4 linked regions of the Lonchura striata genome follow. The protein of the gene in region 3 interacts with the protein of the main gene of each other region in a biochemical or structural test. Links are inferred from orthologs where the notes say so. Each region holds a gene or a part of one and is shown on either strand. Other genes may lie near its edges.

Region 1 (7,889 bases), about 11 Mb from region 3:
TTGGAGAGATGCCAATCATGTCAAGCACTTCTGAGAAAAATCAGTGCTGGGATTCCTTCACTGGGTAAATAAACTAAATAATTTAGATACACTTCAAAATAAAGACTAGTCCTGCCAAAAATACATTCAAGTCCTCTTCTTGGAGCTCCTTAACACATTTCATAAAAATCAAACAAACTCCACAAGATGGAAACCACCTAAAACATTTAGAAATTCCACTTCAAACACAGGAACGCAAAGAAACTGGGCAGCAAAACCTTTCAGAGAAGCTGTCCTGCTTTGTTATTAGATAAAACAAAGCAAGGTCTGTCATCTCATAAAATTACATTTCCTGACATAGGTTCTAGAATGAATAATCATAAATGAGGCCACTGAGTCTTGATTATAAGGTATGACAGAGTCTACAGGTTGCATAGCTTTTCGGAAAGAACTAGAATATACAAAGAAGGTGATGTCTTCCCATCATGGTACATACATCTTCTAAATCCCCTAGAAAATATACTTGAAGAAAAACTAGTAAAGAAATCATGAGAACTAAGACTGCAAACAACTTAGCAGATTGCAGGCATTCAAAAATTGCTTTTTGAAGGAAAGAAGGTAAAAATGTAGATACTTGGAAGCCAGTGGCGAAACTTCTCTACTCGTGTTTAACATTCATTATGTCTAACTTAAGGGAAATTTACTGATTTTAAGAAAAAAATTCAGAAAGTGCACAAGCCAAAACGAAATGTCTAGTCTTGCAGCTGACAAACTAAAAACAATGTCAAATGTTCTTCACAAGACCTCTATCCTTAATAATAACTTAATTTAAGCTTTCCACATAAGTTACCTTGCTCTATTTGACTTTCAGTTGGACAGTTAAGGATTTCTTCTCCTTGCCTCAAAAACAGAGTTTCAATCAGGAAGCATTCTTAGTATTTACATAACATTAAACCAACACGGATTGGAACACCAACATGCTTTGCTAGAAATTTACAGAAATTCTCAAAATTACATTGTTTTGCTGAATTAACTATCTGACTGCCCTTATCCCAAAGCAGAGGCCGTCAACTGTTTTTAAATGGTGGAGGAAAAGACAGGAATGCAACAAAATACTGTCACCACATGGTACTTACCCTAACAGGAGGGCTCCGTGCTTGCACCCTTTGCTGCTGTCCAACTTGTGAGCTCTGCAGCTCCTTTGATCCGCAATTAGCTACAGTGTTGGTGGGGACCCTCAAAGCATTTGTGCCGGCAGTCCCACCGCCGGCGCTGGGTTTCCGAGGCCTCTGTTTGATGCCATCCAGTAGTCTAACAAGCAAAATATTACTGGGGAGTTCATCAACACCGCAGTCCACTAAAGTCCGGCACTCGGGACATCGCAGCTCATTGCGAGAGCTCACAATGCCCAGCAGGCAGCGTTTACAAAACGTGTGTTGGCAAGGCAAGACTTTTGCAGAAGCGTCAAGGCGCTCTAAGCAAACAGGACACTCCAACAGATCCAGCAAAGCCGATTCATCCATTTTCCTTGTATTACTTAATGAAGAAACAAATTTTTGCAGAATCTGTGTGTTTTGAAAACTGCAAGGGTATCATGTTACATCCATTCCTCTTCCGACTGTACTCTAAAATTTTTTGAGGGAAAAAGGCATTAATAAGCTGGAAAAAGTCAACAAGACCATTTTATATGACAATGTTCATACAAACAGCAAAATAAGAGATCACTGGACTAATTCAATAAATGAAACATGAATACAGTAATATCAATCTACATTAATGTATTTATTTATTTATTTAAAATATTTGAACAAATGCTAACAGCTAAGGTTTTTAAATTCAAGTCTTCATAAATTTCAGTCTGAGTGACTTTATTTCCTCAAATTATTCCAGAACAAAGAACCCAGTACAGCAGTACAATAAAGCTTACTTTTCATAGTTCTTAATACATCACTCTCCGTGAACATTTGAGATTAGCTTTCTTTCACAACAAGAAGATGGCAAAGGTAACTACAACGGGGTCCAAAACGACACAGCCTACACCAAAAGGGTACAGCAAGGAGAATTACATTTATGCCAACACTAAGCCAACAGTGAACTACATTTCTACCCTTTCTATAAAAACTACTGCAGCACATTACACAGCTCAGCCTTGAAAACGGCCTCCAGCTCACAGGGTTTTAAGCTTACCGCAAGCACTGACAAGAGGGTTCATTACAGTGCCGCCTTTAAGAAGCGCTTCAAAAACTATCGCGAAGTGATTTACAGCAGGAAGTGCTACTGCCATATCGTTAGGACAACACGAGCGCTGCGTATGCAGCCACAGAGGCAGGGGCGAGCCCCCAGCAAACTCCAGCCTATGTAGCGACGCGCTGGGAAAAGGAGGGGAATAAAAACCAAACACCACTAAAGAGCCCCCCTAAAAAACAAACATTCTGCGAGAAGTCACACCAGGATGCTCCGCGGACAGAGAAAGGCTTGCTGACCTCGGCAGTGCCCGGCTCCGGGCGAAGTTGAGCGCCTCCCCCCAGCCCCCGCAGCCGCCCGCGGGAGCGACGCCCCCGGCTCCCCGAGCGCTCGTCCCGCACCTACCTGCTCCCGGGCTCCGCTCCCGGACCGCCTCCCCGATTCCCTGCTTTATACTGCCCTGCTCCCGAGGGAACAGCGACCCGCAGGCGGGCGGACACGGCGGCGGCGGCGCGCACGGGTCCCTGCGGGGACACGGGGCGAGCGGGGACGGCTCCCCGGGAGGCGGGGGCGGGCGGGGGCCACGGCGCTGTCAGCCCGCCCCGCGGCGCTGGGCAGAGGGAGGGAGGGGTCGGGCCCGCGGCCCCTCCGCCGCGCCGCCCCTCGGGGAGCGCCGGGGTCCCGGGGGAGCTCGAGCGCCGCCGCGTCCCCGTCCCTCACCGGCTCTCACCGTGCGGCCGCGCTGCCCCCGCTTTGTTCCCGTGAGGAGCCGCCGCCGGCCCCGCCGCTGCCTCTCCCGCCGCGGCAGCGCGGAGACTCCCGCGCCCTCCCCGCCCCGCCGCGCAGGGGCCGCTGACGCGAGGCGCGGCGCCGCCCCGCCCGGCGCCGCCCCGCCGAGGGGCCGCGGGCAGGGAGCGGGGGCGGGCCCGGCGGTGCCCGCCGGCGGCACCGCCCCTCGCGGGCGGGGACGGGGCGTGGGGCCGCCTCGGCCTCCCTGCCGCCCGCACCTCGCTAGGTGTCTCGGCAGGGGAGGCGGCTTCCTGGGACGGGAGGAGCAGGCGCTTTCCCCCTGCCTTGTGCGTTTGGGGCAGCCCGGACGGGCACCTGGGGCTGCCGCTGTCCGCACGGAGGCGGTGGCGAACGAGGATGAGGGACGGAGGGAGGGAACGAGGGTGGGTGGTCGCTCGCTCGCTCCTCGCAGGGCTTCCCCCGCTCGCTGTCTGTGGTAAGTCGTACCCGGAGCGCCGGCCCGCGGCTGCCAGGCCTGCAGAAGGAGGAGCCGCGGTGCCCGGAGCCCTTGGCGGCCCGCCCGAGGAGGCTGCTCGTGCTGGGCGGCCGTGTGCGGGGCGGGGCGCCTCCCTGAGCCTCCCCGGCCGTGCGCCCGCAGCTCCCGGCGCCTCGGTGGGACGCGGTGAGGCCGCGGCTGCCGTGTCACGTCCATCGCTGCCCTCGGCTGCGGCTCTGCTCCCTCGGGCCCTTGCAGCACGCTTGTGCTAAGGTCGAGTGCAGCGTGTTCGTGGGCATGGTTAGTGCTGGATTAACAGTTGGGCTCGCTGATCTTGGAGGTCTGCTCCAAACTAAACGGTTTTGTGATAGGACTGCTTCATTAAATAAATGATGCCAGAAAATTGGTGAGTGCCTCTCTTCACACACTCCCCCCACACACACAACCACACACCTCTGTATTCAGGATATGATGCACTTGCTTGTGGGGTGTTTTGTGCGAAATACTTCTCTGCAAGACTGTGGGAATGAAGGAGGAAATAAACCCCAAGATACAGCAAATTACCATAAAACAAAAAGAAGTTAAAGCCTGCACTTTTTAAATCAAATGACACCCCTTGTCTATGGGTGATGAAAAAGCTAGACAAATGTTTAAGTTCCAGTTATTCATCTTGCCAACTGCAAGTCAAAAAAGCAAGCAATCCTAAAGTTTGTGTGTAGTTCTAGCTTTCTAGTTGACCCTAAGAAATGGTATGAAACTGTGTTGGGGGAGGTTTAGATTGGATATTAGGGAAAGTTTCTTCACCCATAGGGTGGTTGGGCACTGGAACAGGCTCCCCAGGGAAGTTGTCACAGCAAATGACTGACTTTGTTCAAGAAGCATTTGGATGAGGCTCTCAGGCATGTGGTGTGATTCTTGGGGCTGTCCCTTGCAGGGTCAGGAGCTGAACTTGATGATCCTTGTGGGTCCCTTCCAATTCAGGATATTCTGTAACTTTAAATTTGCTGTCATCCTTACTTGAATTCTGTGCATATGTATAAAAAGCTGCCTTTTTTTTTTTTTCCTTTTCCTTTTTCACACATGGATTGTGTAGGTTTGGATAAGCTGATAGTGTGACAGTCTTTTCTGTCTTACTTTCTGGATATGCTAACTTGTTTGTTTCCAATGGTAATGATATTCTCTGATTATTACGATTTCCAAGTAAGTACTCTCTCACACTGCATCTCTAATATTTTATTTTATTTTTCAGTCATAGTAGTGGAAATATTGAAGCTGCTAAATATGTACAGTTCATTAAGAAATAAGGTTTCCTCCCCCATGAGTTCTGGAGTTTAGGAAAACTGATACAGATGGGTTTCTGGTCTATGTCTGTGCTTTCCAGGAAGTATCGTAACATAAATAGAAGGGTATAAACATCTGATACATAAGAATATTCTTATGTCTCATAGTATTCCTCTATCTTGCCATATCAGTGCTGTCACTACAGGAAAAAGGATAATCAGTACATTTGAAACAGAGACTTGTTAAATCTAAACAAAGTCTTCTTTCACAGTTGGATTTCACTTTTAGACTTAGCTTCTTCAAAAGATCTCATGGTAATTATTTGCCAGCCTTTCTAGCATAGTTTTGTTAGCAAGACAATTACTGTTGTCTAAACTTACTTTGCTGCCTAAGGAATGTAAAATATCTATTAAAACAGTAAAGGAATTTACAACACAAGTGGTGCACCAGGGAAGCAAGATGAAAGTTCAAGGAAACAGGATAAAAAGATTACTCCTTTATCAGGGCTGGTCTTTGATAGTGTTTTATGTAAAGTCTGTAATATGCTAAATACATTGTGGAATATAAACCAAAGCAGTAAACACTCTGAAGAGCATCAGGTAAATATGTTACTTCCTGAGCAGTAGCTGCAGTTAATTTTCAAGCAATTATGATCCATGTAAAAAAATGTGGGAGTGTGTGCAGAAGTATGCCTCTGCCCTCTTACACGTGAAGTGTTTGACTCAGAGAGGCTGCAATACTCTGGTGCCAGGACCAAAAGGAACAGAATTGCTGTTACTTTCTTGCTACCAGCCATAAGCAGGGAATTGCACTATTCAGACATTGCACTGTTCAGACATTTTTATGTGAGGTGGCCTCACTTCTTGAAATTGTCCCATCCTTATGCACAGTTCATTAGTTTCTTGTACAGTTGTTATTAAGTACATGATGCAAAGGGAAGAAATCCCTTAAAAACACAGATTTGAAAGATGAGGCCCACCAGTTACTCAACCTGGATTTTTACAATTATAATGTCTATTAATATATGTATCTTACACATTTTTGTGTAGTGAATTGTATTTTTGTCACTGGGTTTCAGGTATACTTTATATTTTTCCTCCAATGTATATTGTTTATCTTCACCTGGAAGCTGTTAAGTAAAGGAAGAAGCAAAGGACAATAGGAAGAACAGCAAAGGACAACGTCAGAAAGAACTGTAACACCTTTTGCTTTCCTTTTTTCTGTCTGCATCCTTAGTGCAATAAACCCACTGTGGTCTCTGCACTCCTCTTTCATCAATGCGTTCTTTTTTTCCTCTCTAAACCGAACAGCCTAAAGGCCTCTCCCCATGTCTTCAGCCCACTCTATTGAAACAGTCACACTTTCTATTATAACTAACTCTTACTGCAATAATTCCTGTTTCTGGCACATTTCCAAGTACCCTTAGTTTTTCCTCTGTCTTTAAAATGTGAGACAGTCTATACTGTACCTGGCTTTGACCAGCACTGGTTAATTGATAAGTTGGCAGCTCACAAGAAGAGAGAACAGCATCTGTTGCACCCTTTCCTGTAGGAGGGACATTCAATATTAGATTATTTTTTATATGACCACTGTTTTCTATAAAACCTCTAGAATCTTAATATCTCTCCAGATTTTCCATCAAGTTTTGCCAATGAATTATTGGGAAGAGGGGGTAGGAGATGCACTCTATAGTCATCTGCATCTAGTTTCTTAGAAAATTTTTAATAGGATATTTCAGAATTGCAAATTTTTCAACATGCAAATCTTAAAGATATTTGGTAACTAATGCACTAAATGCACTAACACACTACAGAACAACACCAGGTCCAATCTTCCTTCTAATCCTACAAAATGTCCCTGAAGATTATTACCCTGGACAGCAGGGATAATCCATCTGCCTGAAAAAGTCATGTTAGCACTATATATATTTAGAGTAATAAAACTGAGTGCCATGTAGAGAAATGCAGGCCTACAAGAATAAACATATGAAGGCACAGTTAATTTATTTGTGAATTCCATCCTGAAAGTCTTCAGATAACTGCAGAAGGCTCAAACATATTAAGACTCATGGAACAAGATGCGTTATGTAAGAAAACACAACAGTCATAGTCTGAATTAATTGTATTCATAGTTTTATAAGCATCTTTTTGTTTTGAGCTACATTTTTTTACTAAAGTATTTTTAAAGCTTTTTTTTTCTTTTTTTTTTTTTTTTTTTGGTAATTTAATCAGAAAGGATGTAATGTTCACATTAGCCTGTCTTTCCCATGTAATACCGCTCTCAGGTACAGACCAAAAAGGTTAATCTTATTTCTTTGTAAAATGACCCCTGGTGATATGGTGGCGATTCCCTTTCAAAGACCATGCAAAATTCCCACTGACATCCCTTTAGTGAAAGTTTACTGCTGATGGCCACACTGATCTTGCTGGTAAGTCAATGTAAAGCACATGATGAAAGATGGCCCATGGCCAACTTTCTTAAGTCTGGTGGAAATGAGCAAAGATGTTCTTCAATGGCTTCTTTCCTTTTTCATTAAAGAGTTGGGGTTTTTTGTTTCTTGTTTTTATATCTTTGTTTTTGTTTGTTTGTAGGTCATTCTGGGGTTTTTTTGTGATTTTGTTTTCAGGTTTTTTCAGGGAGCTAAGGTGGGATTGCAGTTTGGTTTTGCTTTGCTGTCTTGTTTTTTTTTGTTGAGTTGTTGGTGGGGTTTTTTTCAGTTAGTACCAGGTTTAAATTATCAAGCTCAGTTACTGTTGGCAACAATTCGAGCAGCAAGGAGCTCAGCATGGTTGATACTGATCCAGTTGGTTTGCTGGCAAACTGAGTTTTATGCTATCCTTGATGCAATTTCTGGGTTGTGAACTAGTTTTAACTACATCAATGACAAACTTCTAAGGTTTTTGCATCCTGCTAGAAGGATCTCCGCTGTTCTGGTATTGGTGAGGAGCTGGGAAAAATGAGTTGTAAAACTAGAAGCCCAAATGTACTTGATAGTACATTTTTATGCTGTGTTCTAGGCATCCAGTTTTCTTGAGGACAGTATCATTTGTGTATTCATGTCGTAAGCCAGTTCTCGCTGATAAGGTGAACCTGGGATTGTAACTTTGTACATATTGCTGCTATTGTAATAACTTAATTTGAGTCACAGGGAGGAAATGTGCAATACAAAACGTGTCTGTGGCATTAAAGAATAAAGATGTTACAACTCTTCAGTGTTTGA
Region 2 (6,994 bases), about 3.7 Mb from region 3:
TATTTATGATGACTCTGTTTTCTGCCTTAGAGTAAAACAGCGAGGCTACTGTGTGATTAAAGAAAAGGTTTTTAAAAGCCTTTTATTATTCTTGATGTTAAGATTTAGCAAGGATTTAAACAAAATAAAGGCAATATGTTTCATAACATTAAATGTATTTAAAAACAATTGATTTTTTCTGACCTTCTTCTTTGCATAATAATAAGCTAAAGTTTGAATATGATGCAAAATAGACTAATCTTCCTTATTTTCCTTATAAATATTCCTTATTTTATTTAAAACTATTCTAAAACTACAGCTTTCTGTAGTTCTATCCATTCCCTGTCCTAGGAATCGTTTTGTTATTAACAGTGGTTGAACTTTACAGGTGTTTCAGTGAAGACAAGGTAAGACACTTTTCTAAAACACTCAGAGGTCAATTTCAGTTAAGACAGTACTATGCAAGAATGGATCTGAATTCAAGAATTTACCACCTTGCTTCTGCCCTTGGAAAAAACATGCGTGTCCTTGCATCCCTGCAAGTTTGCTATGGGAAACTCTATGCAGCTGGTACCAATTTTCCTGAGATTTCCCAGGTAGATTTAAAGCATCAAAAAATGTGTTCCAAACCTCTGGTTATTCCAAATGAGTTGTCTGGGGCTTTCCCAATGCTAATTTTCAGCTTGGAGCCGGAGTAGGAAAGAAAGAAGAGGCTGATTGCATAAGGCCTAATCACATGAGGAGGTCTGCTTGAATGACATCAATCTGTCATCAGGATTTCTTATGTAAGTAAAGCTTGTAGAAAATCCCATTCTGTATCTGCTATTCCTGTTAACAAATTAGATGAGCTGAGAGCCAAAAGACATTATTTAACCCAATGAATGTTTATCTGGCAACTTGCAGCCTGTGCTGCAGATTCACAGGCATGGAAAAACTGGCTCTTGCTTTTGGAAATACATTCATAAACATCTCAGTGTGAAATCAGCTTAGGTGCCCTTGATAAGGTGCCCTTGTTTATCTGGATTTATCAACATTGTTTAGCTGGATTTATCAACATTATTAACATGGTTTCTAGGAAGCTGTCACTTGCTAGAGCACCTTTAAGTAGCAAGTTCCTTCTGCCTATCCTGCTGGGAAGCTGCAGTCCTTTTAAATATGCCATCAAAACACTCCTACATGGCATGGGTTGCCAAAAAGAGGAGACAAAGCCTTGCCAGTCAGCACCTTGCTCTTGCAAGAGCTAACGGCAAGCCATAGACTATGGAAGGATGTTTGGAAACTCATTGAAAGATGCTGATGGGGATTTATGGTAACTTCTGGACTGGCCTGTGTGCTAAACTGAACTGTGTTTGCCTTAGTATTTTCAAATAACACATTTTTAGGGAAAAATCTACAAGAGTTTTGTCTGCTAATTTGCTTATTAACTAAATCAATTAGGGAAACAAATGTATGTGTACAAATCTCCATTATGAAGTCCCACTAATCATGTGAAATTGCACCTGTAAACCAGGAAATTAAAGACTAAAAATACCCAAGTGGCTTGAATTTTCTCAGGAGATAGAAAGGAGATTTACAGCTCCATTTGAAAACACTGGCTCTAAAGATGTATTCAGTATCTGGATGCAGAATGCATCTGCACATAAGTAAAGTTGCAGAGATTTGGGACATGAATAGACTCAAATCTGGAGGTGGTTATATTCTCCTGGCCGCAGCCTCATCTCACTTATTGCTTCAGCAAATCTGTAAACTGACAGCTTTTCTTCCTACCTCAAAAGTTATAGCTGACTCTAACGTGATGCTAATATGGAGCTGGGATTTCCTTTAAAATTAATTTATTTAACCAATTTTTTTAAGATTTTAATGTTATATGTAGTTTTTAAGAAGAAGACTATGGGGGGCGGGGGGAAGTCAAATGACTCCAGATGCTTCAAATTTTGCAGTCTTACAAAGTTTAGGGAAAATCTGTATGTTTTTTGATTTGGTACCATCAGCCTATAGAGTTCCTGGGTGCACCTGCTAATTGATGCATTTGTGAATTTGTTTCTTTGGCTTCTGGGGTAAACAGAATCTGTCAATTTCTTAGTAGTATTTTATCTTAGAAGGCCCACATTCATGGTTTCAACAATTGTTAGTGTTTGCCTGGTTACTGTTCAAGGGTTAAGTGAGAATTAACTGGATGTTGCTGTTTCTCCACTTAGGCAAAAGGCTTGTCAGTATTTGCTGTGACTATGCAAAATCTACTTTATGTGAGATGACTGTATAAAAGTGGACTGGGTCTTGAAAAATGTAATGACTGGGACACAAAGATGGTAGGTAGCAGATTCTTTTAATTATTATTATTTTTCATAATACTTTTGATGGGTAAAGTGCTTGAAAATAAGAATGATTAGGTTAACCTTGAGATTAGAAAAAAAAAAAGTTAATTTTTAAGGAAAGAAACCACAAATATAAGGGTAAAAATAACAGACAAGACAAAAAACAATGCAAGTGACAAAACCAAAACTGACTTTTTTTGGTGTCCTTAAACTCTTTTTCATTTCCCCCCTCCCCACCTTGGTCACTGGGACTCCTGTTAATTCCGTGCATTAGATACATGCACTGCTCTTTGAAATGACTGTGTTGAAATAATGAAAGTAATTATTCCATGTTCTGATTTTTATGTATTATGTGAAAAAGCTACAAAGCAAATACCAGCCTTAGCATCAATTTCTTTACTGGTAAGGGTTGCAGTCGACATCCAGAACGGTTTTCTCCCATTATCCCGTCTCTGAATTCGGCATTGCAGACTTCTAGTGTCCTCTAGTGGTTCTCTGAAATTTGCCCACGTCTTCTCCAATTATTTCTGTTTGTGGAAACAGCATTGTAGCAGACAAGAACCTTCATCGTAATCCTGCCAAAGCACAGGCCACGTTTGAAAGAGCACAATGTTGTGCAGCTGCTCTTAATATTTGTTAGTAATTAAACATAAAGGTGGTATGCGCTCTTGGATTGAGGCGTAAATCTTGAGGGTTGCTAGAATTCTGTTAAAAGAAACGCCAAAATAATGCACTGGGTGCTCACAAAGAGCACAGAACTTGGGTCTTCTTGCTCTTACAAGTTCCCCAAACTCCAATTAAGATAGACAAAAAGCTTACCTGTTTGGATTTTTTTTTTCTTGTGTACCATAGGATGCAGATGGTTGGTGTGGTTGGGGGTTTTTAAACTTAAAAATATTTTAAAATACAAGATGACTATTCTACATTCACTGTATACATGGACACTTTTGAGTGCTTGAATCCCTTCCATTCTAGACAAGATGTGCTAACGGTATCGAGAATGATTTAAACTCGTCTCATCTACGCTAAGTGATCGGAGTAACAAAAGGGATCAAGGTGAAGGGATAATAGGCTGGCTGATGGGAAGGTGGGCTCTGTTGGGACCTTAATCAAGAGTCTGGGAAATGGGAGAGAAAATACTGATGGGAAGCGATGCTGGTTTTAGTGGGGTGGCGTGGAGCTGGTGGCGGAGGCAGCGCGGCGGCTGTCTCTCTCCTGCTTGACTTGCTCTCTCCTGCTTAATCACCACCAAAACAAGAGGAAATGTTTCCACAAGCCTGTATACCACCCCGGCATGGGCCGTACTTTGCTTTTGATAACTCTTTGTCAAACCTTCTCTGAGGCCTTGGCTACGATCTAGTATTCTGTTGGCCCCCGAGACCGCTTCAATGAAGTTCTGCCTGTTCGTGCGGTCGGTGACATCCTGCTGGCGCTCTCCTGCGAGACACACAGGCAGGTACCGCAGGAGCAGGGCCCGGAAGCGCTCTTCATCGTCTAAACTGGTCATACTCGAACCTAAGGAGGATTTATTAATTTTATTACTTTAAACGGCACGGCGTGCTGCTTTCCGGGCAGAAAATGGCGAGGATTCCAACGGCTCAAGCGGCCGCGGCCGGGCGGCGCTGCGCAGCCCCTTCCGCTGCCGGGCGCGGCGGACCCGCCTCCTGAGGGCGGCGCGGCCCCGCCGGCCCCGCACGTCGGCGCAGGCGGGGAAGCGCCGCGGCACCGGCGCCGCCGCTTCCCACCCCTTTCCTGCCTCTTCCCCTGCCGCCCGCCGCGCTCGGGCCTGTGAGCGCCACGCCAAGGCCGCCGCGGGTGAGGAGAGCGGGCGGCGGCGGGGCCGGGGTGTCCGGGGTGTCCGGGGCGGGCGGCGGTGCCCGGCGGTGCCCGGCGGTGCCCGGCGGTGCCCGGCGGTGCCCAGCGGCGCCCAGCGGTGCCCAGCGGTGCCCAGCGCCCCGGCAGCGGCGGGCGGGGGCTGCGCCGCCGGGCTCTGCTGCGGGCGCGGTGCTGCCGAGGCAGCCCGTGGGCTCTGTGCGGGCTCCCCGCTGCAGATCCCCGGGGTCGGTGTTCCCGCATTAGCTCGGCTGGGCAGGAACTGGGTTTGAGCCTCCTCTCTCTCTCTCCCGCTGATTGAACAGGGAGCCTGCATCGATTGGGATCAGCCGCTGGAAGCTCCGGGCAGGTGGGATGAGCCCAGGCCTCCGTGCCATCCCAGCGTGCTGAACAGCGAGGAGTTAACACTGCTTCAGCCTGCGCTGGCTCGGAGGTAAGAACACTGTGAAACCAGCACACCGCTACAGCTCCTGCGCATTTGCTACTCTTCAGAACATCTCAGTCCTTCCCGGTAACATGTAGCTTCTTGGTTTGTCCCTGGGTTATGTCATGCATGCAGCTGAGGCTTAAAAAAATTAAGAACTTGATTTAAACAGTTAAATACAAGGCTGACATTAAAACTGATAGTGTTGGCTTTTAAAAGGAAACAGACAGCTGTGTAAATGTTGAGCCTCTGGTAAGAACTAGGACATAATGCTAGAATGACTTTTCTACATGCATTTCTTTGAAACAGATTCAGTGCTGGTGGAACAAAAGTGAGAAATAACTTGGATGCAGAAATACATTAACCAAGTTTGTCCTACAGTCGCTTGACCATAATGTCATTAAATCCTCCTTGTGAAAAGAGGTATTTTCCTTTACCTGGTGGGTGCACCGGCAGCATCTCAGTGCTGTAACTATGTCTGCAGGAGGAAAATGGGGAATTAAAAAGTATATTGAAAGAACCACTGTCAAATGAGTCTGTGTGAAACAGGTGGCTGAGTTTCTCTTTCCAGTTGATCACACGTTCTAGTTGTTTACAGAAGTCTGTTTGGGAGGGCGTAGAGATTGAGATGACTGTCAGCAACCACAACAGTATAAGCTGAGCGTTTTTATCCAGAGGTGGATCACCTTCCCCATCTTAGTACTGCAGTCCTTTTTTGTGGTGTAGTCCCAGAGTGCTAGTGCTGTTTGTGGAGGCTGATGGTGGAGGACAGAGCAGCTCTGGTCTAGATGGCTTGCTTTGAAGGGGACCTCCGGTCTTGTGTCTCAGGCAGTGGCTGAAATGAAGGCCCTTATTTAAGCAGGGACTGAAGCCTGTGACTGTAAGGTATGGTGTGTTGCATTCTGGCTTGAGATCTGGCTCTGGTTAAATGGTCATTGCTTGTCTTCAGCCCTTGTGGTGTCAAGGGCATGGGAGCTGCTCTGAAGTGGCTGGTGATGTGGACTTGGTGGAGCTGCCTCATGCCTTGAGTGCTCACTGAAATGCAGGACTTAATATCCACATGGTGGAAGAACTTTGTGGCCTGTATCCAATGTAACTCTGTCCCTTGCTGTGCTATTTCAGCACTTTTTAAAAACCAAAAGGACAAATTTTGGGTCAGAATGTTGCAGTCTCCACATTGTGACAGACTCGAGGTACCATACTTCAGAAAGGTTAAAATGTTTACCAAAATCAACTGAACAGTAAATAGGAGTTAGATTTTGGGCAGGTTTGAAAACTGTCTTAGGGTATATCTGTGCTCTCAAAAAAAATGTCCTTAATATGTCTGGGCCCTTACTTTTCAGTCTCAGGAGAGAGGTTTGTCAGCTATGTGTCGTTTCCAAGGCAGTTTGTAGAAAGCTGAAATAAGATATGTGACCCAGAACATCAGTTCCAATCACTACTATAAAAGTACACACAGGGTCTATTTTGGTCATCCTGTGTTTGGTGGCAGTCACCTGCCAGGTTCAGGAAGCACCAGTTCCCAATGTGCATAAGAAAGAAACAAGGTGCCCAGGGGCAGCTTGTTCTTAATCCTGGTGCTTAGTTATCACCAATTTAACAATGAAAACATCCTTGTTAATGGCCGAAGGACTTAACAGCATAAATTACATTTTTTCTTACAATTCTATCAAACTGTGTAACTGCATGTTTTAATTAAATGTTGCAGTAATTCAGATCTTTGGGTGTTGGTTTCTTCAGTTAACTGAAATACTTGTTTCTTAAAGGTTTTCAATTAACATAGAAATAATGCAACATAAATGCCTATTTCTAGCCATTCAGTGATCTTCTATCTTCTTTTCAAAAAAAACCCACTGATCAGATAGATGCAGGTTGATCAGCTTGGAGCTCTTAATATAGAATGAAGTTGCTCTTTCAGTAAATTTAACTGTGGCAAATACAATAAGTAAGTCTTGCATTTCCTCAGTGAGGAAATTAATGTGTTTGTATTTTGAATGCAGTTATTGAAGATTGGTGGGGTTTTGTCTTCTGGCTGTGTATTTTCCTTACCCAGGCACTGTGATGTTCCACAGGCTTCTTAATGTTCAAAGTTATTCCTGTGTAGCATCACTTTTTTATTTTTCAGTTCCTTTAATGAAGAACTGAGTGGGGCAGGGAGGGCATGCCAGCTATGAAATTGCATTGGACATAACCAGCTCATTTCTTTTTGTAACCCTTCTAGTGTAAACAAATCACATTGAATCATGGCAGCAGACTCTATGGAAATTGATGATGCTTTGTATAGGTAAGATTGTCTGATTTTTAAGCATTGCTTCTGACTTTTCAGGATCACTTATATTTACATGTAGTAATGTTACAATTTCATTCATCCCTCAGCCTTTGCTGGGCTTCTTGGTCCTAATCATCAATATCTCTGTTACCTTCCAGACCTCAGGCTGTTGGA
Region 3 (7,226 bases):
GGAGTGCTTTATACAGGGTGTTCCAGAAGTAGACAACCCAATACATAAATACTAATTTACATTCATTTTCAAATCAGAAGTAGAATTTGCCAGTTATGTCTTACGAGTGGTTGCATTCTGAATGTGTAACAGACTTCAAATTAAAGATACACACACACACACTCTAACAGAGTCTCAAGTCTAGTTTACTCAATATAATGAAAAATGTTATTTTGCTTGATATGTCAAGTCCACAAAGAGGGAGTCAACCAAACTGACTGAAAATATCTTCACTGGTACATTCAGGATGTCATCTGCTGCAGGAGACAATGAATTCTAGTTCTGACAAGTAATAGCACAAACTAAATCAGCTATGGTGATTACAATGTTCTGAGGTCCTGGTTTATCTTTAGCCTGTTCTCATCTACTGATAAAGACATACTACAAGGAAGCAGAGAATTCCAAGGTTTGATCTGTGATCTTACAATTGGAAGACAGGGAATCCTAGTTTATCAGTGACAACACCGCTCTCTCTGGATTTTACTGGTTGACAGGATTAAAATTACATTCACAACCATTTTGTTATAGAACTGGCCCTACTGTTTTTTTTTTTATGTCAGCAGCAGCCTCTGTAAACATTTATACTGGAAACCAATAGAGGAAGAAAGCAACATGCAAAGATTGGCTTCATTCCACAAATTAAGGTCATCTTCCAGGTTTGCAAATACAAAAATCAGAACTACAAACTCCACGTGAATTTAGAAGTCTATCTTGTAATGTGGTGTGATTAAACTGATAAAAACCCCAAACAAACACATACAAAAAAAGGAGGCAAAAATTAAAAACTAACAGAGCTAACTATCTTCCCAATCCTAAACTCTTGCCCTAAAAAACCCTAGCTCAGCTATGTTCCCAACCGTAAACTCTTGCACTGGATAAAGGAAGAACCTTGCTACTACACAGCGCAATGGAGATTAAGGACCAATACAAAAGTGTACACAACAGGCCAAAACGCTATAGTCAGAGATGACTTACTGGCTCAAGAGTCACGCTGAATCGTTTCCAGGTTCTGACCACCAGATTACTACATAAGTGGGGGTTTGTCTTGGTTTACATTTGACAATAAATTCCTACCTGCAGTGCCTGAACGTGTTTCATAAGCATGAGCTGATGACAAAGCATACCAGGGAGTATCCTAGCTGTGTTTCAACTCAAGTGCTATCATCCACTAACACAGGGAACAAGTTTTGATGGCAGATTCTAAAGGAATTGTTTTGAAATCCTTGCCAGAGCACAGCCATAATTCAAAGACAATCCATTCAGCTATCTACACAGAAGGGATTTAAAATTTTCGAGGGTAACAGTACTATCCATTCACTAAAAACGTTATAAAAAACGCTTGTTTTGTCTAAAATACGACCACAAGCACTGTGTGAAATTAAAGCGAGACCAAGAGGCGGCATGAAGTTTACACACTGTCTACAAAAGGCGTTTTGTACACTGAAATTCACCGATTTCAGGACACACTGACGTTCTGCCATCTTGGCAGGCTATGAGATGACCAAGAAACTCCTCTGAGCTCTTGAAACACGTAACTGCTCCACGTAGCTCGCGTAAGAAGGAGCACAGACCAACAGCGACTTCCCGGTTCCGCCGCTGCGCACCCATCGCATTTTGCCATTACATCCCAGCAATTCTCAAACCTGCCGACAAAACCTAAACCCACTTAGGGGCAACTTCACGCCGGGAGCTTTCTAGCCCTGGGAGAGGTATCTTAAAAAACAACCCCCCCCACACACAAAAAAGAAAACCAAACTTTCATCACCTCGGCATTTTTTCCGAGTTAGCCGCCGCGAAGTTGCTCCACCCGGCTCCGATTGTGCAACGGGGGGAGGCGGCGGCGCGCAGCGCGCTCCCGGCCGGTCGCGGGGAGAAGCGATTCCCGGACAGGCGATGGATTCCCGGGTGCCCGGAGAGCCCCGGGGCGGCAGAGAGGGGCGGCTGCAGGGCGAGGGCAGCGCCGCGGTGGCTGCTCCGTGTGTCAGTTCCGCGTTATTGCGGAACGCGAGGGATCCCGGAAAGCGCCCGGGCCAGGCGGACCCGCCGCCATCTTACAATGCGGGAGAGAAGTTGCACACTAGAGGGGAGAACCCGGCCGAGGGGCCCAGCTGCTGCCCGGGCAGCGCCTCCATCGCACCCAAACCTCTCGGCACACACGGGCTGCCGCCATCCGGGCCGGCTTCGGCCTAAGGGCACCGGCAGCGACCCCGGGCTGCGCTGACATCCGAGCGGCCCCGGGAGCTGCCTCTCTCCGACCTCCCCGGCCCCCGCCCTCAGGAAGGGGCCGGGGCCGAGCTCGGGCCCGGAGAGAGCGGCCCCGCAGCCCCAGCCGGGCCGCGGCCCCGCCGGAAGGAGCCGCCGCTGCCCGGCCTCTTCAGCCTCCGCCTCTCCCCTCCACCCCCCCCCGCCCGAGACTCCAGGGGCGAGAGGGGGAGGAAAGCGATGGGAGAAGGAGAAGATAAAACACCCCAAAAATAACAATAAAAAGAAGGGCGAAGCGGTGAAGGGGGGGGACGGCGGAGGAGGAGGAGCCGCGGTGCTCACTCACCTTGTTGATGCGTTTCAGCGCCATTGTGTGTGTGCGAGTGCCGGGCCCGTCTACGCGCCGCGGTGACTCCGCGCTCCGCTCGGGGGGCCGGGAGGAGGGAGGAGGAGGAGAAGGAGGAGGAGGAGGAGAACCGGGAGGAAGGCGGAGAGGGGGGAGGGGGCAGCTGCTCTTCTCCTTCCTCCGGAAACAGCCGGGGGGGCGCCCGACCGGCCGGCCGCCCAAGTCCTGCCTGCCTGCGGGCAGCGGGGCCGTGAGGCTGCCGGGGGAGCGCTCCGCCCGCCGCCTCCCGTCACGGCCGGGAGAGGGTGCGAAGTGCGGGGAGAGCCGAGAGGCGTCACCCGCCCAGGGAAGAGCGAGAGAGGAAGGGCAGGAGAGCCCCGCGCTGCCGCCGCTGGCCAGGCCCGGACGCCGCGGGAGGGAGGGAGGCGGGGCCGGGCCCGGCACGCCGCCGCCAACGGCTCCGGGGGGCGGGGCCGAGGGCGGGCCCAAGGGCGAACGGGCGGGGCAGGGGAAGGAAGGTTCTGGGGCTGCCCGTGGGCGCCGCCGCCTCGGGAGCGCTGTGCGCCTCTTCCTGCCCGCGGCTGCCGGGGTCGCGGCGGCTCCGGAGCTCGGCGGGCGCGGGGCTCGGTGGCGGGCGCGCACCGCTAGCGGCGGGTCCGCCCCGGCCGCCTCCCCGCGAAATGGCGGCAGCGGCCGGATCTAGGTGCGCCCGCTGACGCGGCGGCGCGGTGTTCCTCCGCGCGTCAGCCGCCGGCCGGCGCCGCGGAGGGGTCACCGCCCGCCCGGCCCGGGAAGGAGCCGCTCCCACAGGCACGGCCGGCCGGCAGCGCCGGGGCACGGAGCAGGGAGGGAGCCCCCGAGCCATGGGGTTTGCAGCGTTCGCTGCGGTGCGAGTGACGAAGCTGAAGCTCTGCTCTTGCCCCGGAAGAGCGGAGGCCTGGTGTGGGGGTAAGGGGCCTGGACGCTTCCTTTTAGTGGCGTATCGGCATACACGAGGACGTCCAACCAAGTGTCTCAGTACAGGGGACAAAACATCACCAAAGGGAAGATAATGGTGACGTGGATTGTCAGTCCAAGGGCCAGATGCATCATATATTCATATAATCATCAAAATTGGAAGTGACCTTTAAAATCATAAAGCCCAACCATCACGTGGCATTACCCCCTAAACCTTACCACTCAGTGCCAGTTAACAGACACCTCTTAAGCATCTCTAGGAATGGTGACTCTACCACCTTCCCGGACAACCTGTTCCAATGCTTTACCACCTAAACATTGAGAAAAATTAATACCTAATTTGAAACTACCCTGTCTCACCTTAATGCATTTCCTCTAGTCCCCTCACAGCAGGCAGTCTAGAAGAGACTGACCCGCAGCTCATGACAATCTTTTAGGTAGTTCTAGAGGATGAGATACAATTGTTTTATATACAATAGTACCCTCTGTAGCACTTCAGCTCCTTGGAGGCTTTTTATTTTGTGCAGCATGTGCCAACAGATCACTCTCAGCCACGTGGGTTTTTTTTTGCACCGTAATAAATGGTGCAGGTTTATACATTGTTCTCTACAAGGGGAAGGACTCCTACTCCATTTCCGTGAAACAAGAGCAAGATTGCCTGACTGCCCTTCTTCTGTAAGGATGGAATGTATAAGTGACAAACATGACATTTGACGTCCAGGGGGATGTCCACATAATGGCACTGGGCTCCATTTGTGTTCGTTTTAGTGCCATAGTGTTAGTTGTCTTGCTGTCTAGGATACTAATTATTATTGGTCTGGAGAAGGCAGTATATTCAGAAAAGCTTACTGTGTAACAACATTTTCAGTATGAAGCTTGACAACAGGCAGCAGTGAATTAGGAGAGCAGTGGAGGTTTTTTATTATTATTAAAAATAGCACAGTTGTAGAACTGCCATTGTTTTTTAAAACTGATATTTGCAAGCAAAAGAGTAAACAATACCTTGTACTTCTAAAGTCCAGTTATCTTGCTATGATCTGCTAAACCAATCCTAGCAGCTTCCTTATGTAGTCTTCATTTTTTGCTTATTCTTTTAATTGTACTGAACAGCATGTTCAGTAAGTGTAATTACAAATGATTTGATTTTCATTCTTATCATCTTAGTCAAGAATATTGCTGAAGAACACCTTGCTGTTCCAGTTTTGGATTACGGATGCTATTAAACGGCTCCAAATCACCAGCGTGTCTATCTTTGCACCACAGACATGATGCTCTGCCTTGTAAATTGCTCACAAACTTTCTGAGCTTCATTATGGTTTGTCATCTCAGGAGATTTAGATACTTGGCAGTATTCCAGTTTTACATTTTGTAATTATTATTTGAGATTAATGACCTCTAATATGACTTTATATTAACATTTTTGATCAGACTTGTGATTCACGTTTTCTGTATAATGAAAGAAATTAAGAACAGCATAAACATACTGTTGGCAGTGTGTAATTTCCCCTGCTAATTTAAGACAACTGGAATTGTTAATCTGGTAAATCAAGTTTTCTTACGTGTTAAATTCAATGTCTATTAGCATTTGACCCCAAAGAGAATTTCAAATTTACTGGATAGGTCTTGTTTATAGCCATTGCTCAGAAACAGATTTGCAAATTTTAGTTTAGTATACTTGTTTAGGCAAACACTTCATTGCACTTGCTGGTCATTTTTAAAAAACAAATCTGCACATTTAAATACTGACCTTTGAGAAAAAAAAAATTATGGCTTGTGTCGGAATGAAAAACAAGACATGCAGTCACAGTTCTGTGACCTGTTCTGCAAGTCACAAGCACACAGTTCTGCTTGGAGAACATTATGCTTTCCACTCTCACCTCCTTTTCCTCAAATTGTGAGGTAAAAATCATGTATTTTCTCCTCAGTATTTGGAAATAAATAAAACCAAATAGTTTTTTTACTTCACTAGGAATGTGTGGGCAAACAAGGCCTCAAAATCTTAATATGTTGATCTGCCCATGCAGAGTTTTTCAGCTTTACCACACACAGTATGTATATTCTTTTGCATAGATTCCTCATATGGTAATATAAAACGCAAGAGGTGCAGATGATGGTTACTGAATAAGGGTGTTGCAACTTATTGTGGAACTATTTGTGTTTGCTTCATTTTAATTTGATTTTTGAAGCTAATCCTCAGAAGTGGCTGTAGAGAAGTATTACCATGTCTAATCCTCCACAGCAGTGGAGTCAGGTTAGACTTTTAGAGGTTTATTATGCAAAATACCTCAGTAGATGTGGCCTGGTAATAAACAGTTTGCACAAAAATACTGAGAGCAGACCAGCTGTCTTGAACCTGTCTTTAAATTTTGTTTTTTCAAATATGGTGTTCCAGAGCCATGTGTGACCAAGTGATCAACAGCCTCCAAAGGCTGGATTCACCAGTCCATTTCAGCTACTTCCTGATGGTCCAACATAGGAATGGATGGTCCAGCCAAGAATGGAGGTTGCCTTGTTTGCCTGTTACAGCAGTGCCCCTTGGGGATTTGAGTGAAAAGCAGCCCAGCCTTTTAGTTTAAAGGTTTACAGAGGTTACTTGTACATCAGTGCTGGTTTTTCAGTTCTGCTTGCCCGAGACCAACCAGTTTTATATTTGGAGCATGCTATTCTACCTGCCTTCAAGACAGGTGGAGCAACCAAACATCGTGGACACCAAGCAGCATTCCATACAAGATGCTTCATATATCTGAGAGGAAAGGGGGAAACAAGATGGAAATGTTTTCCAAAAATATTTTCCATTTTAGGAGAGAAAAAAAAAAAACTTCAACAAAAGCAAGATATCCATCTAATCCATCCAATAGATTACTATTAGTTCCTGTTTGGAGCACTTCAGCTTATGCTGCTGGAAAACAAAGCACTAAGATGAACAACAACAGCTTCAGCTTCTCCCTGTTTGCATGTATTACCAGGCCTCAATTTTCAGCATCCTGTCCAACTTGTTTTTCCTTTAATTATTGTAAATCAAGCTTGCAGACAAATCCTTCTTTAATCTGAGCAAAACTCACCTTATTGAGGACCCTTTTGATTCAGTGGATACCAGAAAGAATAAGATCACAGGAGAAAGTGGACAAAACAAGATTGTTCCATTGGCCTTTTTTTTTTTAACAGAACAACAACAACAACAACAACAAAAAATGCTGAATTTGCCAAGTGCCATTAGAAGACAGTGGAAAAAAACAGGTTTGGGGATGCCATTGGGTTCCACTTTATCTGTTTCAAATTCCAAAGATCATCAGGCCCTTCTGTGTAGCTGTGGGCTTCTCCTCTTCAGTGAGGATGACTAGGTCACAGTTACAGCCTTAGCAGTGCTGTGTTTCCTTGCTGATGCATCTGTGACCATTATGTCTCCTGTTAGGAAGAATAGGTAGGCAACCCCCTTTCACATCTGGAGTGAAGCCAAGGTCAGTGTGTTAGGCAGCAGTTAGTTTTTAAGAAATACTAGATAAAAGGTAACTTTCTTCATATTCCAACTTGGCCAATTCTTCATCTCCCATTATTTCTTCAACAGCTTCTCTGACATTTTCACTTAAACAATTCCCAAGCTAATCCACATTTCCTTTGAATTAGAAGTGCTTTTAATCTCAGTTCTAAGTCACGGAGCAAAATGCCGAGTCCCTGCATCAAT
Region 4 (7,870 bases), on a different chromosome or scaffold from region 3:
GTTGGCATTCCTTGTCAGCTCTGGATAAGCATCTCCCTGTGGAAGTGAGCCTCAGTTAGTGATAACATCCTCAGCATCTTCCTCGGGGGATCTCGCAGCATGTCACAAATATTATAGAGGTTACTTGCATACAGTAACACATGCTTGTGCTGACTGTACCACTGATGTCACTATGTCCCCTCCCTCCCATCACAAGTGATAATACGGACAAGAGGTTTTTAATGCTGGAATGCATACCATCAGGTAACATCTCCCTGGAGCTCCTTCCCATCCAAAATTGACTCCTGACAGTATGCAGAAAATGGACTTGGGGCTGAATAGGATGCGTGATGACCTTTTTCCCCCAAGACAGCAGTTTTACTCACCAGCACTTCCACAACTGTAGGCACCAGGGAGGCCAGGAGCCCAGGTGGAGCCTGTAGAACTTCAGAGCAAAAGCGTACAGCCCTGCGCAGGATCCGACGCAGCACCAGTCTGAAAACAGAGAAGGATTCCTCAGGCAGCCTTGTGAGCATCCCTGCCCAGCTGCCACATCCAGCATCCCCCAGCTCATCTGGTCTGATTCATCAGCACAGGCCAGATGCTCCCAACACTCTACACCCATCCAAGGGGAAGTCTGCAGATTGGAACCCCTTCCTGGCTCTCATCTTCCTGTCTCCCTAAAAGCTCATGTACTCCCTATCTGGGGCCCACACTAGAACCTCTTCCCTGGCTGTTCATATTCCTTTCTAGACCTAACTTCCTCCACCTCATGCCATCTCCTTACGTCCTTACTCTGCTCCAGAGAAGCCTGGGTAGATGCCATCAGTGATGCACACGCACAGGGTGCGCACATGATCTGCCACCACGCGGTAGGCCATGTTCACACGCCCAACATCAGCATTCCCGACCAAACCTTGGTATCTGGGTGCCCTGCAGACCTAAAAGAGAAAGTAGAGAGAAAATCAGCAGAAAATAATGGCTGCAGAAGAAGTTTCAACACAAGAGGCAGCCAGCTATGCCTGACATCATGTTTTTCAAGTACCTCTGAACCCCGTGCACCTAAGATGTACTCATCAAATCCTTCCACGGCACTACAGACCAAGACTTCTGTAACTAACACAGGTCAGCCAATGCCCTAGCACTGAGAAACTTAAAACACTTTAAAGGAAAATGAATCAGCAGTGCTGAAATTCCAGCAGATTTCCAGCCTGGAATTCTCCCTTTTTTCTAGAACACTGCATTGGACCTGGCAGGACATAACCTCCCGCCTCAAGACACTGCTCAATAACTGCTCAGAGAAGACTATACTATGCTACCCAGCAAGCAGTCTGTGTTCAAGGAGCTTTTGTTGAGCTGTGACTCTAAGCAGAAGCACCATCACCTTGTGAATAGCATCCAAGATGGGAGTGAAGAGATCTGTGTCATAGCTGGAACGTTTGTTCTGCAGAACTGTCACCAGTCTTTCCAGACCCATTCCTGTATCCACATGGTACTGCGGCAAGGGAAGGAGATTCCCCTCCACCTCTCTGTCAGCCAGGCAGGAAAAATAAAAGGCAAAAGAGAAGCAAGGATCAGTTCATGAGCAAAAATAAGGAACAGGTGAATCAAAGAGAATGGGAAAGTGACAGGGGATGGAAACATTGGGTGACCCAGCATAAGGAAGCTCAGGGATAAGAGTGACAGCAGCCTGCCTTAGCCCTGTCAGGCAGCCATTATCTGACCATCACATAGCATAGGCTGCAATGTAAGGAAAATGCAATGTAGGATAGGCTGCAATGTAAGGAAAAAAGGCCTTCTCCTCCTCTTCCAGACTGCTGCAGACCTCAAGAGATCTCTGGAATGCAGCATTAAGGGAGAATAGGCAGTGAAGGTTGAAGAAGACAGGGATTTAAAGCAAAGGGGACCAAGAGCCATGCTGGGCAAATCTCCACAGTTTCTCTCTTGCTCCTGGTCTTGGTATTGCTACCTTCTGGAAACCAGTGATAAGTCTGAGAATATACCCATGATTTTGGAGTCAGGCTAGGGGGAAAGGCTCTGGAGTTCAGATGAGATGCTTGGTACCTGCTGTACTGCATGAAAACTAAGTTCCAGATCTCCACTACATCGGGGCTGCCCTGGTTCACCAGTGCTGCAGCATTTCTGCCACCACCCACGTGGTCATAGTGGATCTCTGTGCAGGGACCGCAAGGACCTGTGTCCCCCATCTCCCAGAAGTTATCCTTCAATGGGAAAGGAAGCACGTGACTGGCAGGAACCCTGGAAAGGCAGATAACAGAGATGGCAGTGCTGAGGCATACACACAAACCACACAGTAACCCAGATCACAAAGAAAGCTGGAAGAAAGGAATCCTTTCTTCCTTCTACAGACTCAAAAAGGAAACACATCAGAATTCCTCTGTTTCTCTACTTCCTCTGCTTCCTTCTCTTCACACAGAATTACTCTCCTTAGTAAGATTAAGTGAGCCAAACCACACAGGACCCTAGTCTCAGCCCAGAATTATGGGCAAACACAGCCTGGCCCCTGCTGACCAAGACAGGCTCTCCACTGGGTCTGTGGAGCACCTTGCTCCTTGGAGCAGAGGCAAGACCTGAACACCATCAGTGGCACAGAGCTGTCTGCCTTGGGCTCAAAGCCTACATACAGCTGGAACAAGATCCCCAAGCACAGCAGTGCTCTCTGCAATGGCTGCACCCTCTCACTGAAGCAGACATTGCCTGCTTTCAGAGAACACACTCTCATGATGGAGAGGAAGCAAAGGATTGGAGATCCTGTACGTACTTCATCCAGGCCAGCCAGTTTTAGGCACATACCCACCCCCACTGATACTACCTGAGAATGAACCAAAAGTTCAAGAGACCCAGTGAGTTCAGAGCCCAGCTGACTTTTAACAGCGCAAAGAAACCAGAAACAAAATGGTAAAACATACTCTCTGGCCCCCACAGCTGATCAACTAAAGAGCAAATGCAAGACTGTGGAAAGTAAAATGTCAGCACCTCTTCTCTGACACACTTACCCCAAGTGGAGCCACACATCCCTGCACTCCTCGTCTGCGCTCAGCCCCAGCGAGGGGTCTCCACCAAAGTAGGTGACATAGAGACGATCTCTGGGGATCTCATAGACCTCTGTCAAGAGCTCCCAGGCCATGCTACATGCCTCCTCCTGAGCAGGTAGGGAACATAAATGAAGCACAATAATTCAGAGTCTTTAGAATGGGAATCAAACAACAAAGAAGTTAATTTCAGCTGTTTCTCTCCCTTTCTAATTTTCAGACTTATTGCAAAGAGCAAGGATGAAGGTCAGGAGAATGAAACAGCTCACTGCTGCCAGTGGAAAACTGACATTTCTAAAATGTTGTGAGCCCTTCAGCATGGTGTGCATCTATGTGCTTGCTGGCAGAGTTACATGGATTATTTAATTTCCAAAGAAAAAATCTATATGTCACCTAAAAAACTTAGCATCCTTTGTTCTTCTTCCCTTTTCAAACCTTCTAGTAACAAACATTAAATGAGCTGGTAACCTCTTTACACCATATTAAGTGGCTAACACTGGCATTCTCACAGAAAACTTTTATTTTTACATGTTGGTCACAGCTTTGGCAGGCTGAGTGCTTTGAGAGTCTTCAGGACACATTCAGCAATAGAGCCCATGAGCTCACCACCGCTGTTCCAGGCCACAGAGCCCCCAGGAATGAATCTGGATCTTACCAAAACACCTTCTGTACACACTCCTATGGCACTACAGCACAGCTCTGAAAGGCAGGTTATGTTTTCCCCTAGAAAGGGTTCACTACTATCACCTCACCTTAAAGTAATCCCCAAAGGACCAGTTCCCCAGCATCTCAAAGAACGTGTGATGGTAAGTATCTCGGCCTACATCCTCCAGATCGTTGTGCTTCCCTCCTGCACGCACACACTTCTGGCTGTTCACCACCCGCCGGTACTGGGCCAGCTCACTCCGGGGGTGCACCGTGCCCAGGAAAATGGGCTTGAACTGGAAACGAGAGACACACGCTCTAGATGCCTAGGTGTAGGCATTCCTACAGATGCCTAGGTGGCATCTGTACCCGCTATGGACAGATGCCACCTAGTGCAGTGAGCCTGCGCCTGGGGCTCCCGATACACAGAATGGGTCAGGTTGGAAGGGACCACAGTGGGCCATCTGGTCCAACCTCCCTGCTTTAGCTAGTTCGTTCCAGAACACACGGCACAGGATTGTGTTGACAGTTTTAAACTATCGCCAGCGGGGGAGACTCGCACAGCACTGCGGCACTACGAGAGGCGTCCAGCAGGACGGCGGCGCGGGGAGCCCAGGGCAACGCCGGAGATCTTGGCAGGGGACACCCCGAGCCGGGCGGCGCTCCTCTGAGATGCGGAAGCGCCGGCGAGCCGGAGGAGGGGAGGTGCAGGACAGGGAAGAGCACCTGGTTCATGCCCGCATTGACGAAGAGGAGACGCGGGTCGCCGCGGGGCCGCACGGGGGCCGAGGGCAGGCGGCGGTGGCCGTGGCGCTCCTCGAAGAAGCGCAGGAAGGCGGCGCGGATCTGCCCCGCCGACGGGCAGGCGGCACCGCCGCGGCGGGGACTGCAGCGCCAGCGCCATGGCACCGCCAGCAGCAGCCGCCGCCGCAGCCGGGCGGCGGCAGCCATGGCGCCTCACGGCGGACGGCAGCGCCGGGGCGCCCGGAAGGGGCGGTACGAGGGGGAGGCGGGACCCGGCGGAGCGCGGCGGGACTGCGGGAAAGCGCCGCGCGGCGGCCCCGCCGTCCTACGGCGCACGCGCGGGCTCCGGTCGCAGCCCGGGCTCGGACGGGCCCCGGCCCGCCCCGGCCCCTGCGAGCGCCGCCCCGCCGCGGAGATCGCTGCCGCCGCGGAGATCGCTGCCGCCGCGGAGATCGCTGCCGCCGCGGAGATCGCTGCCGCCGCGGAGATCGCTCCCGCCGCGGAGATCGCTCCCGCCGCGGAGATCGCTCCCGCCGCGGAGATCGCTCCCGCCGGTCGCGGCGGGCGGGCGCCATGGCGGTGCGCGGCGTGCCGTGCCTGGCCTGGTGCCTCCGCCGAGTCGGGGCCAGCGGCGACTGGCTCCTGCTGGAGGCCGGCACGCAGGTGAGCCGCACCGGGCCCCGACCCCTCGGAGTGGGCGGGGGGGCAGGCACGGCTCTCGGGGCGCAGTTTGGTGGGGTCTCGTGTTTCTTACAGCGCTTCCCAGGAGGAAAAAGCACCGCCTTGTCCCGCTTAAGGAGCAGCCTCCGTTCGTGGCCGTTCGGAGGAGCCGCCCGGGCGGGCGCCATTCAGCCCCGGTAACGCCCCCGGTCGTGGAAGACGGACCCAGGCGCTGGAGTGGCCTTGGACGAGCCTTCGCTTGTTTATGTCTTTACATTCTTATGTCATATTTAGATAGAGTTGTTCGTGTAACGGTAACGTAAGTGAGGACGAAGGGAGCCCATAGCCTAATTAACAAGGTGGTGCTTTTGGCGAGGTTAACAGTACCTAAGGCATAAGGTATTCAGGTGTAAATGAAGTCACTTTTAAATTGTTTTGATGCGGTACGGGAATAGCCGTTTTCTTAGCGATTGTGTTTTTAAATTGAAAAATGGGCCCTGGTACTCTTCTTTAAAACCCAGCAGGCAAAGACGTGTGATGACGTTGGGGCAGCGTAAAAGGAGTGCTGTTCCGGTGGTCAAAATCAGGTGGTATGGGTGATGCTGTGGCCAAGGCCTTGTGTTCAAACACCGCAAAAGGCACCCATCCAAACGTATGCTTTTGTTACTCTCCCATTGTGGATTTGAAGCCCTGAGATTTGCAGATCTCCTCGGTGAAGGACTGGCGCTAACAACTTGCAGCCAAGGCACTGATAATTATGCAGGGAATCCAGTTTGGTATGTTACTATTCTGATTGTATGCACAGTGGTTGTCATTTGCAGCAGGGAGGTGCTGTAGGTGTGCCAGGCCACAGAGTACAAACTGCTTTTGCTGGAGATTTAAATCATAATCATAGATTATGCTGAGATGAAAGGGACTGACAGGGATCACTGAGTCCAGCTCCTGACTCTGCACAGGACAGTCCTAAGAATCACACCACATGCCTGAGGATGTTATCCAAACACTTTTTTAACACTATCAGGCTTGGTGCTGTGACCACTTTGGTGCTAAAGGACACTGCTCATATGTGGGAATGGGATGTGATTTGCCGGTACTGCTGTGAGCAGCACTGAACTCCAGCAGGTGAGTGGTAACATCTTGGACCCCTGCTTGCTAAATGAGCTTGATCAAGGGGGAATTTTATGACTGCCCCTGCTTGCTCTCACTCATATTGATATGTGAGGTCCTGTAGACGTGTGTGACTGGGCCCTGAGGATGCCACTGCAGGGACAAATGCAAAGCTGCTTTTATGTTTGAATCCTCATGAAGAAGGGAGTCTTTATCCATTTGAGTCTCTGTACCTCTTATGTATGCAATCCATGCTGACAGAAAACTATATGAAACATTTAAGAGGTAGGCACTAACATGTTTAAGTTTGCTTTTGTTATCTTAGTTTGCTTCCTTGCTTTTGGTTATGACACGGGGGTCTGAATTCTTGCTCTAAACTCAAGGTGAGAACTGCTCAGGTAATGCGGATTAATTAAGAGAAGTGTGCAGAGGAGGCAGCAGAGGGAGGGAGAGCAGGGATGTGCTTTAAATGGCAATCTGAAATCAGATGAGATTTAAAAAGATACTGTGCAATACTACAAATATATGCCTTCTTCCAGAAAATAGTATTAGTCTAATGCAGTTACTTAGATCACTTTTACTACTGATTATGAGCTGCATGTAGCTTAGATTCTGAGCCATAAGATCGATGGTGTGATTTACAAAAGTACTGTGTATTTAGGACAATGTTGAGTGTGCACTTTTTTTTGATGGCAGTTTTCTGGGCTATTTTTTTCCTGTATCTTTTCTGTTCACAAATGGTTGAACAGATGCAACTAGCAAAAGAAGAGGTTAAGAAGTAGTCTTGAGACCCACACACAATAGTGCTGGTTTGAAGAAATGGTATTTGGTTAGGTAATGATTGAGGTGGGACAGAGTTGTATCTGAGTGGCTTTGAGCAGCTTTGCCGCTGAGGAAGATTTCCATGAAACCAAGTTGTAACGTGCCTCAGAGAAATTAAAATTTCCTCAGTGGGAGAGAAAGATAATACTTCAAACTTTATAAGCTTCTATTTTCTATATACTCTTAAAATTAAATTAAAAAAAAAATCATACTATGCCAGACCTTTTGGAAATAACCATAAGATATTGATATAGAGTTTTGCTGTACTTAAATTGAAATGCCATAAACTGAATTTACCATGTCATTACTGATTGCAGTAACTATGCTACTTTATTTTTAGGTGACTGTTGGCCGAGGATTAGATAACACGTACCAGCTGGTGTCAAAAACCTGTCCCTTGATGATCTCTCGTAAGCACTGTGTCTTCCAGCAGAATGCAGAAGGGCAGTGGACTGTCAAGGATAACAAGGTATACTCCTGAGATACATTGAATAGAATCCATTCTTTTGGATCTAGCAGTGTATGGGCTATGATACAGCATAAGTGGGATAGAAGGGATTGTGTCTTGCCTGTTGTGCACTTCCAGCAGGAAACTTCAGTCTGCTGCAGTTGGGATTACTTTCTGTATGTAGATCTACCTCTTAGTTTAGCATTATTCAGACCAGTGTGGCCTGGCCAAGGGCACTTTGCAGTCTGTGAACCTTCGGTGTCGCTTTCTTAAAAAATATCCTATATGAATTTTGATACAGGGTTTTATCTTTTCAAAAGGATAACATTCTTGTAGTGCTAATGAAAAGATAAAGTGCAACTCGTTGTTGTAGTGATACAATTGCTTTGATTATAATCAACTTCAACAAGAA

The links.
Region 1: the proteins of UBE2D3 (region 3) and SH3RF1 form a complex in vitro, tested with the Homo sapiens proteins (2 studies listed by BioGRID). The link is inferred for Lonchura striata from reciprocal best matches to the Homo sapiens genes UBE2D3 and SH3RF1.
Region 2: the proteins of UBE2D3 (region 3) and UBA6 form a complex in vitro, tested with the Homo sapiens proteins (2 studies listed by BioGRID, with this or other methods). The link is inferred for Lonchura striata from reciprocal best matches to the Homo sapiens genes UBE2D3 and UBA6.
Region 4: the proteins of UBE2D3 (region 3) and RNF8 form a complex in vitro, tested with the Homo sapiens proteins (4 studies listed by BioGRID). The link is inferred for Lonchura striata from reciprocal best matches to the Homo sapiens genes UBE2D3 and RNF8.

The regions. Positions count from the first base shown.
Region 1 is NC_134606.1:37,454,104-37,461,992, reverse strand, and holds the start of SH3RF1 (E3 ubiquitin-protein ligase SH3RF1), read right to left. Parts: upstream 3,008-7,889; 5' UTR 2,894-3,007; intron 2,717-2,893; exon of another isoform or gene 2,569-2,716; intron 1,605-2,568; 5' UTR 1,503-1,604; coding exon 1,116-1,502; intron 1-1,115. UniProt on the Homo sapiens protein: Has E3 ubiquitin-protein ligase activity. In the absence of an external substrate, it can catalyze self-ubiquitination. Stimulates ubiquitination of potassium channel KCNJ1, enhancing it's dynamin-dependent and clathrin-independent endocytosis.
Region 2 is NC_134606.1:44,859,965-44,866,958, reverse strand, and holds the start of UBA6 (ubiquitin-like modifier-activating enzyme 6), read left to right. Parts: upstream 1-3,991; 5' UTR 3,992-4,109; intron 4,110-4,432; 5' UTR 4,433-4,560; intron 4,561-6,772; 5' UTR 6,773-6,794; coding exon 6,795-6,835; intron 6,836-6,994. UniProt on the Homo sapiens protein: Activates ubiquitin by first adenylating its C-terminal glycine residue with ATP, and thereafter linking this residue to the side chain of a cysteine residue in E1, yielding a ubiquitin-E1 thioester and free AMP.
Region 3 is NC_134606.1:48,603,747-48,610,972, reverse strand, and holds the start of UBE2D3 (ubiquitin-conjugating enzyme E2 D3), read right to left. Parts: upstream 3,010-7,226; 5' UTR 2,612-3,009; coding exon 2,588-2,611; intron 1-2,587. UniProt on the Homo sapiens protein: Accepts ubiquitin from the E1 complex and catalyzes its covalent attachment to other proteins. In vitro catalyzes 'Lys-11'-, as well as 'Lys-48'-linked polyubiquitination.
Region 4 is NC_134605.1:29,922,183-29,930,052, reverse strand, and holds the start of RNF8 (E3 ubiquitin-protein ligase RNF8), read left to right. Parts: upstream 1-4,862; 5' UTR 4,863-4,994; coding exon 4,995-5,084; intron 5,085-7,350; coding exon 7,351-7,479; intron 7,480-7,870. Other genes in the region: AARS2 (alanine--tRNA ligase, mitochondrial), read right to left, coding at 1-36, 366-474, 775-920, 1,364-1,508, 2,044-2,238, 2,997-3,142, 3,785-3,973, 4,404-4,628. UniProt on the Homo sapiens protein: E3 ubiquitin-protein ligase that plays a key role in DNA damage signaling via 2 distinct roles: by mediating the 'Lys-63'-linked ubiquitination of histones H2A and H2AX and promoting the recruitment of DNA repair proteins at double-strand breaks (DSBs) sites, and by catalyzing 'Lys-48'-linked ubiquitination to remove target proteins from DNA damage sites.